2 linked regions of the Elephas maximus indicus genome follow. The protein of the gene in region 2 binds, or shares a complex with, the protein of the main gene of each other region. Links are inferred from orthologs where the notes say so. Each region holds a gene or a part of one and is shown on either strand. Other genes may lie near its edges.

Region 1 (8,078 bases), on a different chromosome or scaffold from region 2:
TAATGCTAACATCCCCTCAGTCCTTTTAGTTTCTCTTCTCAGGTCTTCTTACAGTTCCCATTTATCTTTTTTTTAAGGTATTAGATTTTTGTTGACCAAGTAAATATCAGTAAAGGTCCTAATGGCCTGCTAAAGCTGAGGGAGAAACATTAGCATACAAGTTATTTACTGTAAACCACTTCTTTAATATCACTTGTTTTTAGAAATAAAATGTTCTGCTTAAACTCTTTTTCACAAGTAACTAAGGGTAAGAGTACAGACCATGTGTGAATTACGGTCAACTGAATTAGCAGTCTCATTAATAAGATTTTAGTATAAAATTCCTAATCGCAACACTGCATCAATGTGGTAATGAGTAAAACTGGTAAAGACGGTATTCATTTCATGTTGGGGTTTTAAACAAACTATACATTTTTTTTTAAACTATGGAAATCAAGGCATCTATACAAAAGTTACAATTAGTAATTCACAACTGAGAGGAGTCAGGCAAGAAATAAAGCAAACACTATAAAAATTTCAATTTGATTAAAGGATAGCCCTTCCATGTGTACTGTAAACTAATTAGTTGGTTCAAGAGCAAATAAAATATCTTCATAACTCAAAGTTCACCCTGAATAAACACACAGGTTATGGTGGGGTAATTGGGACCAAAGGGAAGCTGTGACTTACTCAGATTCATAATAAGACTGTTACTGAGTTGAAGGAGAATACCAAGTCTCTGGCTCTCTGTTCTCTGCATCAGTTATTAAGGTGTCATTCTTGGTGACCCTCTTCCAGTTGGCCTTTTCTCAAACAGCAACCACAGTAGCAGGCAAGGTCAAAAATGAAAGTAACTTAAAGAAAAAATTGGCTTCTCCCTATGGAGACTGACTCAACATTTAATAATGTGTGCCCCAAAAAAGCTGGAAACTTCTACACTGGCCATCTTCAGGTCCAAATTAACTCAAGCAGAAGGCTATTACGGAAACATAACTTACTGGTACAAAGCAGAGAGCAAATAGTTGAGAATGTTCATAGGCTGAGGTCTAATGGGGAGTAAAGAAGATGATCTCATAATGCCTCTTTACGATCTGTAAATAACACTATTCCATAAATCTGACACAAGTGTCAGGACTAGGATTAAGAGTCAACCCTCTAAATAGGAAAATAAAAATAAGCAGCTGCCACTTTTCTGACTTAAACTAAATTTAGAAGCTAGCTATAGACATAAAACAATTTCCTCTAATTTCTAAAATCAAAAAAAAATTCAAAGTCTCTTCTTAAATATTTTAAGATTTCAAAATTAGGCAGACATTCAAGAACTTTCTTCAAGTTTAATGGGATTTTGTTTTCGATACAGTCAAACTTTATTTAGGTGTTTAAGTAAATTTGACCAGTCTCTTGGGAAGTATTCTTGTAAGTGGGGCAGTTTAAAGCGTTAATTCAATTAATACCCATGTTTATTGATTCGGAAATTGTTACAGTATTTCAGACAAAGACACAATGTAATAACTATCTAGCAAAGGAATAAGGTTTGGAGTGACAGGTTAAAATTACTTTTGAAAAAGCAAGCAAGACTTGACTGCAAATAATACCAATATCTCTAAAGCCCCCTGTTAAGCTAGAAGTCTATGCATCCCATCATTCTGTACTTGTAACCACAAAGTCTGGCTTTACACCTAGGATATACAAGAAGCATCAGATTAAAAGCATGAGATATCAGACTACACACGTGTGCCAAATGTAAGTATAGCACAAGAAAAGCATGATACAAAGTTAAACAAGCTCCAAGGAGTTTAAACACACACACAAAGCCCAACCCATGCTCACACCTAAAACTGATGGGAACCACCAATTCTGACTTTCCTCTCAATACCGACTACCCACATTCCCCCTTTTATCTCCTGAATTTCTCCTCTGATTTCATCACATAGGTCATTGCAATTCTAATCTCCTTGGCCCTTTCTTTCCCAGGAAGTGATACAGCACCTGGTCCCTACACTTCACTACCTCCACAAGTTAGCTCTAATTTGTATTTTATTAGATATTAATTTGCCCTCAAACTCCTATACCCGAGTTTCCCTGACCAATTAGGCTCCTGCTTTTCATCGCCTCGTCCTTACAACAATATTTAGCTTCTTCTTTCAAAGTAGAGCATATATCCCTTTTCCTGACGTTTGTAATCTGGCTCACAAGTCAACCTCGCCGTTCTTTCCCAGAGACTGTTACCATGGCCCTAGGTCCCCATTCCGAGTCCTTATCTTCCTAAGTAAGGCCTCCTCCTTCTCAGAGTTTGTCAACATTAGTTTGGCTAAGCTGGGATTCCACCCTCAAGGCAAAGGCTATCTCCCTCTTCATTCTACAAAACTACAAGTCTCCCATCAGCCTTGGCTTTCCCTCGTCCACTCTTAGATCCATCTGCATCCAGCCCTGCCCGATTCCCTCCTAATTCCAATATACGTCCTCCCACTATCCCGCGCTCCCCTTCCCCACTCCTGAACGCACCTCCTCTCCGGGCCTTACCCGTAACCCTGACACCAGGAAGGCCCTGCCAGCGGCCTTTGGGCGTCTATCCTCCCGGCTTCCTCCGCTCTTCAGTAACTGTCCCCACGCCCCTTTCTCTCCACGGCCCCGCGCGCTGCCCGGAGACCCCTCCCGGATTAAACCCCCGCTGTCACTTGGCCTCTCATCCACAAGATGGCGGAGCTGCTGCCCCCACTCCCGGGTTCCTCCGCAACTCCCTCCCGCCTCCCCGGAGCTCCGGTCCTGTCCCCTCAGCCTTCGCCGTCGCCGGCCTCGGCCCGGGGTCCCACTGCCCCCTCCCCCAGCGGACAGGAGGCCCAGACTCGAGACTCAGCGACGCCGCCAACGCCACCGCCTCCACCGCTCCCTGGTCTGCACCTTCTCCTCACCATAAACTTGAGCGCTTTCTCCTGCAGCACCGCCTCGGCAGGGTCCATAATCGACCCGGGCCGCTGGGTTCGCTCTCTGCCGGGGCCGCCCCCTGGGTGCCAGGCCGCAGCCAACGCAGCGCCCGGATCCCGCCTCCTCTTCCTTCACCCCGCCCTTTCTTAACTCTAGGCGCTGGCGAGGGAGCCAGCAAGGATCGGCTGTTCCATGCGCATGCGCGAGCCCGCTGGCTCACGGGATTTGTAGTTCTGGTGCCTCCCGCAGCAAAAAGTGAGACCACACCACGAACTGCGACTCCCGCGGTTCACTGCGGCAGGGTCGCCGTTGCAGACGAGTCAAGCCTAGACAACTGTCGGTCAACAAGGGAAAGTCTGCTGATGGGAATTGTAGTTTATGGCCTCTAGGAATGGGAGGGGCACGGGTGTCTCCGTGGTTACCGTGAGACGCCAATGGCAGCTTGCCTGACATTTGATATCAAGATGGCGACCGGTATACCTCACCTGTACCCCAAATACTGGAAAAAACTATGAGAGGACTCAGAGGTCCTGGGACCTCCCTAACTGTGGTTTTAGGGAACTTCTTATTGTTAGGTGTCGTGGAGTCGGTTCCGACTCACAGGGACACTGCGTACGACAGAACGAAATACCGCCGGTCCTGTGCCATCCTCGCAGTTGTTGACTTGAGCCCATTGTTGCAGCCACCGTGTCAATTAATCTCGTCGTTGAGGTTCTTCCTCTTTTTCGCTGACCCTATGACTTACCAAGCATGATGTCCTTCTCCAGGGATTGATCCCGCCTGATAACATGTCCAAAGTACCTTAGACGAAATCTTGTCATCATCCATCTTTGCTTCTGAGGATCATTCTGGCTGTACTTCTTCCAAGAGACTTGTTCGTTCTTCTGGCAGTCCATGGCGTACTCAATATTCTTTGCCAACACCATAATTGCAAGGCATCATTCTTCCGTCTTCCTTATTCATTGTCTAGCTTTCGCATGCATATGAGGTGATTGAAAAGATCATGGCTTGGGTCAGGTCCATCTTAGTCCTCAATATGACATCTTTGATTTTTAACATTTTTGAGGGCTTTTGCTGCAGATTTACCCAATGCAATGTGTCATTTGATTTCTTGACTGCTGCTTCCACGGATGTTGATTGTGGATCCAAGTAAAATGAAACTCCCGACAACTTCAATATTTTCACCATTTATCATGCTGTTGCTTTTTGGTCCAGTTGTTAGGATTTTAGTTTTCTTTATGCTGATGTTTAATCTATACTGAATTTAGGGAACTAGTCAACCCCAAATTCCATATATCTAGCTTCTGCGGAAGGGTTTGTGACCCAGAGGCACTGGGCCTGTGGGTACCTGGCAGCAGGTCACAGACCAATGAAGAATTTCAAGGTCCTCCAAAGCTAGCTCCCCATATTTCTTCCAAAAGACCTATTCTCCCCCCCTGCAGAAAAACAGGGCCAGATAGATGTCAGCTCAGGAAATTTTCAGGTATTTAACACTCAGAAGGCATGGTTTGCTAGTGTTAACCCTGGGATGTAAACAGTGCATTAAGGGTCAAAGGGGGTACTTGTTTACAAAAGGCCTTCAGTGGTGGAATATAATGGCCACCCAGCAGCTAAAGCATGTGAGTATTTTCTTTGACCTTGAAAGGAATAATTAGTGTTTATTTTGGAAATTGGATTACCCTAGGAGGAGAAAACTCTAGGTTTAAGCTAAAACTGAGATTATGTTAGACTTGTAAATGATCTGAATTTATAAAAATAAGTGAATCAACACTGCTGGTGGGAATGTAAAATGGTACAACCACTTTGGAAATCTATCTGGCGTTATCTTAAACAGTTAGAAATAGAACTACCATACAACCCAGAAATCCCACTCCTCGGAATATACCCTAGAGATACAAGAGCCTTCATACAAACAGATATATGCACACCCATGTTTATTGCAGCTCTGTTTACAATAGCAAAAAGTTGGAAGCAACCAAGGTGTCCATCAACGGATGAATGGGTAAATAAATTGTGGTATATTCACACAATGGAATACTACGCATCGATAAAGAACAGTGACGAATCTCTGAAACATTTCATAACATGGAGGAACCTGGAAGGCATTATGCTGAGCGAAATGAGTCAGAGGCAAAAGGACAAATATTGTATAAGACCACTATTATAAGATCTTGAGAAATAGTAAACCTGAGAAGAACACATACTTTTGTGGTTACGAGGGGGGGAGGGAGGGGGGGTGGGAGAGGGTTTTTTTATTGATTAATCAGTAGATAAGAACTGCTTTAGGTGAAGGGAAAGACAACACTCAATACATGGAAGGTCAGCTCAATTGGACTGGACCAAAAGCAAAGAAGTTTCCGGGATAAAATGAATGCTTCAAAGCTCAGCGGAGCAAGCGCGGGGGTCTGGGGAACATGGTTTGCGGGGACTTCTAAGTCAATTGGCAAAATAATTCTATTATGAAATCATTCTGCATCCCACTTTGAAATGTGGCGTCTGGGGTCTTAAATGCTAACAAGCAGCCATCTAAGATGCAGCAATTGGTCTCAACCCACCTGGAGCAAAGGAAAATGAAGAACACCAAGCCCACATGACAACTAAGAGCCCAAGAGACAGAAAGGGCCACATGAACCAGAGACCTACATCATCCTGAGACCAGAAGAACTAGTTGGTGCCCGGCCACAATCGATGACTGCCCTGACAGGGAGCTCAGCAGAGGACCCCTGAGGGAGCAGGAGAGCAGTGGGATGCAGACCCCAAATTCTCATAAGAAGACCAAACTTAATGGTCTGACTGAGACTGGAGGAATCCCGGCGGTCATGCTCTCCAGACCTTCTGTTGACACAGGACAGGAACCATCCCTGAAGACAACTCATCAGACATGAAAGGGACTGGTCAGCGGGTGGGAGAGAGACGCTGATGAAGAGTGAGCTAATTATATCAGGTGTACACTTGAGATTGTGTTGGCAACTCTTGTCTGGAGGGGGGATGGGAGGATAGAGAGAGGGGAAGCCGGCAAAATTGTCAAGAAAGGAGAGACTGAAAGGGCTGACTCAAGACGGGGAGAGTAAGTGGGAGTAGGGAGTGAGATGTATGTAAACTTATATGTGACAGACTGATTGGATTTGTAAACGTTCACTTGAAGCTTAATAAAAGTTATTATAAAAAAAAAAAAAAAAATAAGTGAATCAGAGAAATACCTTTTAACTTATAAGAAAAAATCTCCATTGTAAATATTTTATTCAGTAATTTATTCAACAAACATTAAGCATATAACTGTGTGCCGACATCATGACAAAAAGTGGAGATTCAGTAGTGAACACAACAGACTCAGTCCTTGCCCTTGTGGAGCTTACATTTCTAACGTGTTAATGATTTGTCGTAGGCATCCCTATTTCCACAGAACTTATCTGATACGTAACAGGCTTTCCACTAATATAAAGTTTTGCGCTCGTGTTTGAAAAAAAGTTCTACACAAGTGTAAAATGAGGGAGACTTAAAACTCATGTGAAAAAAGACTTGGGAGTTTTCCTAGGCCAAAGGCAGTAATGTGACGTGATTGCCACAAAAGCTAAAGGAACCCTAGGCAGCTTGAGCAGAAGTAGGATCTGGGCCAAAGAGGCTTATGGTCTTACTTTATTTTGAAGCACCCAGATTACATTTACAGTACCTTGTTCAATTATGGGCACCCCATTCTACAAAGATCCCATGCAGGAGCATAGCCAAAAGCAGGATATCCAAGAGAGAAAATACTGATAGATGCTTATTCTGAAAAAAGAACACATAGGAATAACATGACAATTAACTTCAAGTATTTGAAAGGCTATTTGAAAGTATATGTATGTAGCTTCACAGAGCAAACTAGAATCAGTGGGTGAGATAATAATAACAACAACAGCTATCGTTTTATTAGCTCTTTGTGCCAGGCACTATACTGGGTATTTTACATTTATAATCCCTAATATTTTTTTTTTTTTAATATACATAGTGGAAACCCTGGTGGCGTAGTGGTTAAGAGTTCGGCTGCTAACCTAAAAGTTCAGCAGTTCAAATCTACCAGGCGCTCCTTGGAAACCTTATGGGGCAGTTTTACTCTGTCCTATAGGGTTTTTATAGGGTTGCTATGAGTCAGAATCAACGTGACAGCAATGGGTTTGTTTTGTTTTGTTTTGTTTTTAAATAGTCATAGTAACTCTGAAAATAGCTGTTGTTATCCCTAATTTACAGTAATAATTTTTTCGAGTAATTAGAGCTGTCATGACAAAGGAATGGACTGCCCCATTCCTGAAAACACTTAAAGGCAGGATGACCATCTTTCAGAAATAGTCTAGGGAGTTTCAGTTTGGGTGGGAGGTTAAGACCTTTTAAATTCTATACTGTTGATAAGTCACTGATTTTACTTTGTTATTCATAGAGGAGTATGAAAATATTGCCTGATGAGGCTGCCAGTCAGTGACAGTCCTCACTTTGTTTAGTCATTTGAAGATGAGAATTAGTAAAACGAATATAAGGAATTTTTGTTTGGAAGCACAACGAGCTAGAGGGCTGTTATGCATGTAGATTGAAACTGACCTGGCAGGAGTTGACTATGGAAAGGATAAATCCTCTTTCCTTAAAATTGACCAGTCATGATGAGGCAAGCCTACGAAATGCAAATCTGAATTGCCTTGATTTTCAAACCCCTCCTGTCCAACATGGTTTAGGAAAGATGATCAGACTGGTGAGTTAACAAGTCTGATCCTAGCCCACACTTTCCCCAGTTAATTGGTTGACTTTGAGCAATTAACCATCCTCTCTGGCCCTCTCCTCATCTGGAAAACAAGATCTCTGCCAACTCTAAACTATATGCACTTATGAGTCCACTTATAGTGCAGTTGCTTGAGGAGAATACCGAATCATTAGAACTCTTAAACCTCCATTTTATTGGAAAACTGGACAGTCAGCATGAGAAACCACAGCTACTACTGGATTTCTTTCTTTTTTTTTTTTTTCCTCTATCCTGGTTTAAGACCTTAGAGTACTCTTTGACTCGTCCTTGTCTATTAGAGTCTGTATTCAGCCAGGAATCCATCAAATACCTCTTGCAGCTCCCATCCCACCCTCAGTGCTAGCCTGTTCCAGACTATCATCATCTTTTTTGCTTGGTTCGCCATATTGAACTCCAATCCAGTTCT
Region 2 (7,177 bases):
GGGGAGGAAAACCAAACTCATGGTGACCCACGAGACAAAGCAGAACTGCCCCCATAGGGTTTGCTAGGCTGTAATCTTTACTACTACAGCAAACAGTCAGGTCTTTCGCCCTCGGAGCCACTGGGTGGGTTTAAACCACCGACCTTTATGTTAGAAGATGATCGCAAACCGCTTGCACCACTCAGGGACTTAAGGGAACGGAAGAGAGATGATATTCTAGGCAGGAGAAAGCATGAGCCACAGCGGCAGGGAGGGTGGCAGGGGATCCTGGGAACCTGGACAGCAGTAGGGTGGAAGCAGGGAAAGGAGAGGTAAGCTTCCTAGATCCAAGTTTTCCCACAAAGGAAAAAATTTAAATTGCTATCAAACTTGGGCTTCACAATTCTGCTTTTCAGTCATGATTAAGGTGGATTATATTTTATAAGGCAGTTTTTCAAAATGCTGTTGAAGTTCAAAGTTATGTCACTCCCACAGAAGCCAAACACTCTGAGGGCCTAAAGAAATCTTAAACAGTGCGATTAAAAACCAACTCATTTTACAAATGAGGAAATACAGGCTCAGCAAAGTTTAGCTCAGACTAGACCCCATGTCTTTGCTCTCAAGCAAAATGTTCTACGTCTAAGCAAAAATAAATGAATAAATAAACACCACACATATACGTAAGCTAGTAACAACACACAGCTATATATAGAGCTAGAAAAATCTATGAGTGAATAAAACACAGGAAAATCACTAAAAGTGTCATAATTTTGTTACTAAATAAAATTCACATATTACAAACTAGGAGCTTAACCTCCTCAGGGAGCTTAAAATCCCAAATTTGATTTATTCCTCATTTGATGCTCATTTTTCGATCTTGAAAATCAAACAAAAAAACACACTTTACTAAAACTACCAGATAAGCTTAAAAATCAAGATGAACTTAGAATTGATCCTTAGAACTATTATTCTTTTCTCTAGAAATATCTAAAAGACAAGCTTAAAATGAAGCTAACAATCCCCAAAAGGCATTTTATTCCAGGCTGACCCACTCAATTGTCAAGGGTAGATGGGACCTACGGAGAATTAAAACAGCAAAGAATAAAAATACAAACACGTTCACAAGTTTTTGGGGCCCTCATTTTTTTAAACTGAAGAATGTCAAGTAATTCTAGACATTTTAAAGACTAGTGTGTTCAGACTGTCTATGACTGGGCATACTGGGAGTGAACTTCTGAAAAAGATCCCCAAGGACCTGAGAAGGGTCTTTCCAATCAGAGGCCGCATCCCGGACTCTGTAGTAGCACAAGCGGGTTTGCCTCATCTTTCCAACATGGAAGAGCCTCAACTATCAGGCTACTTTTTTCATTTTCAAACACAAAGTGCAATATTTAGCCTGGGGGAAAAAATGATTCAAAAAAAAAAAAACTCACAAAAAGATAAACAAATTCGACACCTTAAATCTAGTTTTGAAGGGGAAAAAAGCTAAGTAAAGTTTCACAAACTGTTTTCTTGGCACCTGCTTGATTTCCACAGGTAAAGAAAACCTGGGCATATCTTTTGGGGCATTGGGCTAGATACTGGGGTACGGAGGGGGAAAGGACGAGGTAATGAAAAAGAAAGGATGGAGGAAAAAGACAGCAAATTCAATAACAGTGCAATAACAGTAACAAAGCTTGCATTCGTGAACAGTGTAATTGGGGTGTTTTCTGTAACCAAAATCAGGGCAAGTGGTCAAACAATAGGTATAACAGGTAGAACTACTCAGAACATTCATCCAAACACTGAGGTACCACCTTGACCAAGTTCTGTGCTAATCTGGGATGCAAAAATAAATAAGGAATATTCCTTGCCCTCAAGGAATCCAGTTTGAAACATACGGGAAATAAAGCTGTGTTCATCACCGAGGCTAATTATCACCAGGTGCTCATTAAGCATCAGGAACCTAACCTGCTTTAATACTCTGCGACGCTGTGCATAACCGGCTCACACACGCGAGTGTCCCTCAGTTTTCTGATGGGGTACAAGTTAGCAATGGGGCTGCCTACAAGGGCTAGGGCTAGGGGCTCTGAGAGTGGGCCGGAGAAATGGGTGAAAACTTCCAGTATACTAAGCTTGGTTGGTTTAGGGGTTTTCAGGCAAAACAGCTTTTAAAAGATGAGACCAGCGACGGAAAAAAGTTTAACATATTCAGAAAGTAATCCAGCCACCCCTCTGAAGCTTCGGGAACACGCTCCAAAACCTCCAAACATGGGCATAGTGGAGTTAACGCCAGGCCACCTTGCGTTCACCAGCTTCGGAATTTGAAATGCGATGCAACTATGTGGACTGTCCATGCAGAGCAATAAACAGAACTTCAAACTAAATTTTTCCTAATATTCAAAAACCTCCCGGACAAAGCGAGCCTCAGGTCCCGGCGCCTCCCCGCCGACACACGGTGTACTTCGCCGGCACCACACGCACCGGCCACACAGCCACACGCCCTGCGGGCTTTCGGGGACGCAGCGAGGCCCCGACGCAGAGCGACCGCAGCCCGCGCAGCTTCCGCGGGGTCGGGACGGAGGCCCGGGCCGCGGCCTAAGTGGAAACCGCTTCGGTTCCCGTCCGTCACTCCGCAACGCGGCTCCAAGACGGCCAGGCCGCTCGCCGCCGCGCTCCCAGCTCCCGCGGAAGGCGCGGCGCGGCGGCCGGCGAGTCGAGCGCCCACCGCGCCGAGGGGCCAGGCCGGTCCTCACGGCGGGTCACCGGGTCACCGCGCCCCGCCTCGTCCCAGCGCGGGTTCGCGCTCGGCCGCAGCCGCCCGTCCGGGCCGCGAGAGAACGGGCCGCCGATTGTGACCCCATAACGGCCGCCGCCGGCCGCGCGCAGCCGCTGCGCTGACTCAGGCCCCTGCCGCCGCGCCGCGTCCCCGCCGCCGCCGCCATTCCGCCGGCGCCGCCTCGGCCCGGCCGCTGCGACACCGCGGCCCGCCGCCGCACTCACCGCGTCCGCGTCCCCTGCGCCGGCCGGCCCCGCGACGTCCGCGCTCCCCGCCCGCCCGGCCCCGAGAAGGCCAGACAAGGCCCGAAGCCCGTCCCGCCGAGGCCTGGCCGCGTCCTGCTCCCGGGCCGCCCCGCCCGCCGTGCGCCGCGCCGCCCGCCTCTTCCTCCGCTCGGCTCCTCCTCCTCCTCCTCCACCTCAGCTCGGCTCCGCCTCCTCCTCAGCCCGGCCCCGCCTCCTCCGCTCGGCTTCCTCCGTCCGACTCCGCCTCTTCCTCCGCTTGGCTCCGCCTCTCCCTGACCCGGCTCCGCCTCCTCCTCGGCCCGGCTGTGTCTCCTCCTCAGCTCCTCGGCCCGGCTGTCTCCTTCTCAGCCCGGCTCCGCCTCCCCCCTGGCTCGGCTCCGCCTCCTCCTCAGCCTCCTCGGCCCAGCTCTGTCTCCTCCTCCGCTCGGCTCCGCCTTCTCCTCCGTTCACCTCCTTCACCTTTTCTTCTTCTTCCTCTTCCTCAGCCCGGCTCCTCCTCCTGCCTCCTCCCGCCGCACCTGGTCCTCGCCGGGCCTGCCGCCGTCTCGCTACCTCAGAGCCCACGGCCGGTCCTGGACGCCGACAACACTGAGCCCTGAGGGCCGCGGTCTCCGCAGGTGGGGCAAGTGGGGGCAAAGAGGGGGCGGGAAGTGTGCGCGGGCACCACAGACACACGACACACACCGCACAAGTATACACCGCACTTTATACCACATATCACGTATGTACACACATACCCCACACTACATATAGGTCACACATATACACACACCACACAGATGCACACCACACACAGACCCTCACACCACACACACCCACCTCACATGTTCACAAACATACCTGCCACATCACACATATACCACACAGACACACCTCACACATTCACACACCACACAGGTACGTCACACATCTCAGTACTCATACACATGTACATACACTGCGTGGATACACACCACACACAGATACAGCACACAGACACGCCTCACGTTCACACAGGCATACATGCCACATCACACATACACCACACACACATCACCACATATACTGCACATACCTCCCATGTTCACACACCACATGATACATCACACACCTCACCACACATACGTATGTGTGTACACCACATGGATACACTTCACATACATGTACACACACCACACAGGTACACTGCACACCCACCCTCACACCATAAAGAAATGCACCACACATAGCTCACATGTTCACACAGACATATGCATGTCACACCACACATATGCTACACAGACACATACATCAAACACCACACACACACACTGCATACATCTCTCATGTTCACACACTACTCAGAATATACATCCCACACCACATAGACACATACACGACACATCACACACACCTCATACCACAAACACACTGCACACACAATCACACAAATATAACACACACACATACACTACAGACATGCACATCATGCCACACCATATCACACCACACAGACACAGATGTACACCACCAGACATATCATACAAGGACATCACGTACACAGACATCCCATCAATAGGCTTCTTGGGATGGAAGATAAATGCACCGGAGGCAAACCTAATGTAGTATCCTGATGGGCAGGTAAGACAGTCAGCTGTGGGAGATGGCCTGAAAATGAGGCCCAGACATCACACCGAAGTGTGGGATTCTCAGTGTCCTACACCTGCAGGCCTTAGGAATCAGGACCTAAAAGCCTGGGATTATCTGCACCTCTTTTTTTTGATCATTTCTAAAATAGAACCAAACCAAGCTTCCCTTTTCAAGTCCTGTAACCAAATCATTTTTGGCAAATTTTCACCAAGATTCACTTTATTATTAATCTTTGTAAAACCAAATTAAAAACAGACAGAATTTAAAAATTTGATTGCATGTATGTATAGTATGAGATGTGACTAAGTATTTTCTTAACATGCAGGCTGAAGTAGTTAATCCCATTAGTTTGAAATTAAGTGTCATACTCCCTACCTGAAATACTCAAGTTAAATATAAACTTTGGCAGCCCAAGTAGCTACCCGATATGTGGCAGAGGCTGAGAAGGCATGGATAGCCGCATACCTAGGGCCGTCACTCACAACCTAACTCTGTGAACAAGCAAGGAAGGATTTCAAATTGTCATCTGACTAAGAGATGTGAAGAATGTGACTTCCCAAACTAAAACACTGCAGAGATTCTAGTTCCATGCTGGGCAGCAGCCCTCGGCCTAGAGCAGAGGCACTACCTCCATTCACTACTTCCTGAGTAACCACCTGTCTCTTGTAAGACACATCCCATCAGGGTATTTGGCTCTTCCTACTGAACTGTGGTCTTTTCTCAACATCTTTTATACATTCTTATTGCCAAAATAGATGATCCTCCAAAATGCTTGGGGGATAGCCTACATTACTAATGATCTAGTAAGGAAAACATAGGTGTATTTTAACAGTTTTCTTGTTGGGCACTTGGTAAGATTGGAGGTAAAATGGAAGGCTTTTCCCTGGGGACCACACTTTCCACTGTAGATACGTGGTGTTTTTTATTTCCTCACTTCCTTTTCTTAGACAGACTAGGAAAAAAGGCCTGGTGATGTATTTCTGAAAATTAGCCAGTGAAAACCCAGTGGAGCCCCCAGGCTGTCAGGCACTCAAAATACACGGTGGCCAAAACAATGGTCATGAGCATACCAACAATCACAAAGATGACACAGGACCAGGCAGTGTTTCGTTCTGTTGTACATGGGTCACCAGGAGTTGGAGCCAACTCAACAGCAGCTAACAACAACATATGTAAAATATGAAGCAGATGTTTTCCTACCACAGTCACAAAATATATCCGACTGTGGAACCATAGGATAGGTAGCCCCCCACTTTCTCAACTCTTGACTTATAAATGGCTTGCATACAGAAAGGCCTTCACAAAAGGCCTTGCTTTTATTGCTTGGATTTTCACCAAAGATTCTTCAGTAACCTCTCCTAAAAATCAAAATAGCTCCAGGAGGGTAACAGAGCTTGAGTCATTCAGTCACATTTAGCATTAACTAGTTGAGTTGGGTTGTCTTCTTTCTAACATGGATCAGTCCCACCTAAAGAATGGGAAGTTTTGGGCAAGTCTGAGAGAACACTGAGGGTCTCAGAGCAAGCTGAAAGCCTTGGGGCCAGTGGACCTGGGAGAGGAACCTTTAGGAATGGAATGGAATGCAGGAAAGGAGATGGGAGGATTTAAAATTCTAACTTTTCTCGTTTCAGGTATTCATATTGCCACTGCTATGCCTCTTGTTTTGGGATCCAGAAGTCAGAAAATACTACTGTAAGATAGTTATGAATTAAGTAGACATTTGAGGTCTTTCCTGAGGGACTTAAATGCCATCGTTACATTCAGTTAAGTTGGGGCCTATGAAATAGCCATTTTCAAATGATTCAACCTAGAACTGGCGAGCATTCAGAGTTCCAGAAAACTGTCCTAAAATCCTTTGTCCAGGAAGCTTTCTATGACCCTCCAAACCTACTCCACCCTCATCTCTAGATAAGGTGTTCTTTCACTGAAGAGTTTATAATTTGGCATTGCAATTTATTTTCCTTCCATATTTCCCTCTCCATCACAGATTGTTTCTTGAATCCAGAGTGTAAAATGGTGGGAGTAGTAGCATCAGTACCTGTCTAACTTCAGGGGGTGTATAATGAGAATCAAGATCAGCCCATGACTGATCCCTATGAGGTGGAGGTCAGACATCTACACACTCCAACCTCTTTACTAGTTCTGATACCAGCTGTCCCTCCCACTGCACTCTCTACTTCTCATCTGGGTTCGAAAATCTGTTGTCATGGCCACAAAGAACTCACAGACCATACCTACAGTTAAGTGGTTTATTAAGGAAGTAGGGTACAACTTGGGATCAGGATTAGGAAGCATGTAGGCAGAGCCTTTAGTGCAGGACAGCTCTTTCAGCTCCTCTGGGTTGTGCAAGCAAGCAGGACCTCTCTGCTGTGCACACTCCCTCTGGGCTGTGCAGGCCTCCTCTCGGTCCCCTCAGGACAAGCCTCTTCTTGGCCATCTCAGGACAAGGTTCCTCTTGGCTCCTCAGGACAGGCTTCTTCTCAACTCCCTCAGAACAGGCCTCCTATTGGTCCCTGAGGACAGGCCTTCCTGCCTTTGGCTCTGCCACAGAGCCTCTTCCGGGCCTGTCACTGTCTTCAGTGTTCCA

The links. Proteins that work in one complex are often made in the same cells at the same time.
Region 1: CUL1 (region 2) and BTRC share a complex: the UniProt entries of both Homo sapiens proteins name them as parts of the SCF(BTRC) complex. The link is inferred for Elephas maximus indicus from reciprocal best matches to the Homo sapiens genes CUL1 and BTRC.

The regions. Positions count from the first base shown.
Region 1 is NC_064834.1:52,977,947-52,986,024, reverse strand, and holds the start of BTRC (F-box/WD repeat-containing protein 1A), read right to left. Parts: upstream 3,040-8,078; 5' UTR 2,940-3,039; coding exon 2,892-2,939; intron 1-2,891. UniProt on the Homo sapiens protein: Substrate recognition component of a SCF (SKP1-CUL1-F-box protein) E3 ubiquitin-protein ligase complex which mediates the ubiquitination and subsequent proteasomal degradation of target proteins. Recognizes and binds to phosphorylated target proteins.
Region 2 is NC_064826.1:1,461,215-1,468,391, forward strand, and holds the start of CUL1 (cullin-1), read right to left. Parts: upstream 3,101-7,177; 5' UTR 2,962-3,100; intron 90-2,961; exon of another isoform or gene 1-89. UniProt on the Homo sapiens protein: Core component of multiple cullin-RING-based SCF (SKP1-CUL1-F-box protein) E3 ubiquitin-protein ligase complexes, which mediate the ubiquitination of proteins involved in cell cycle progression, signal transduction and transcription.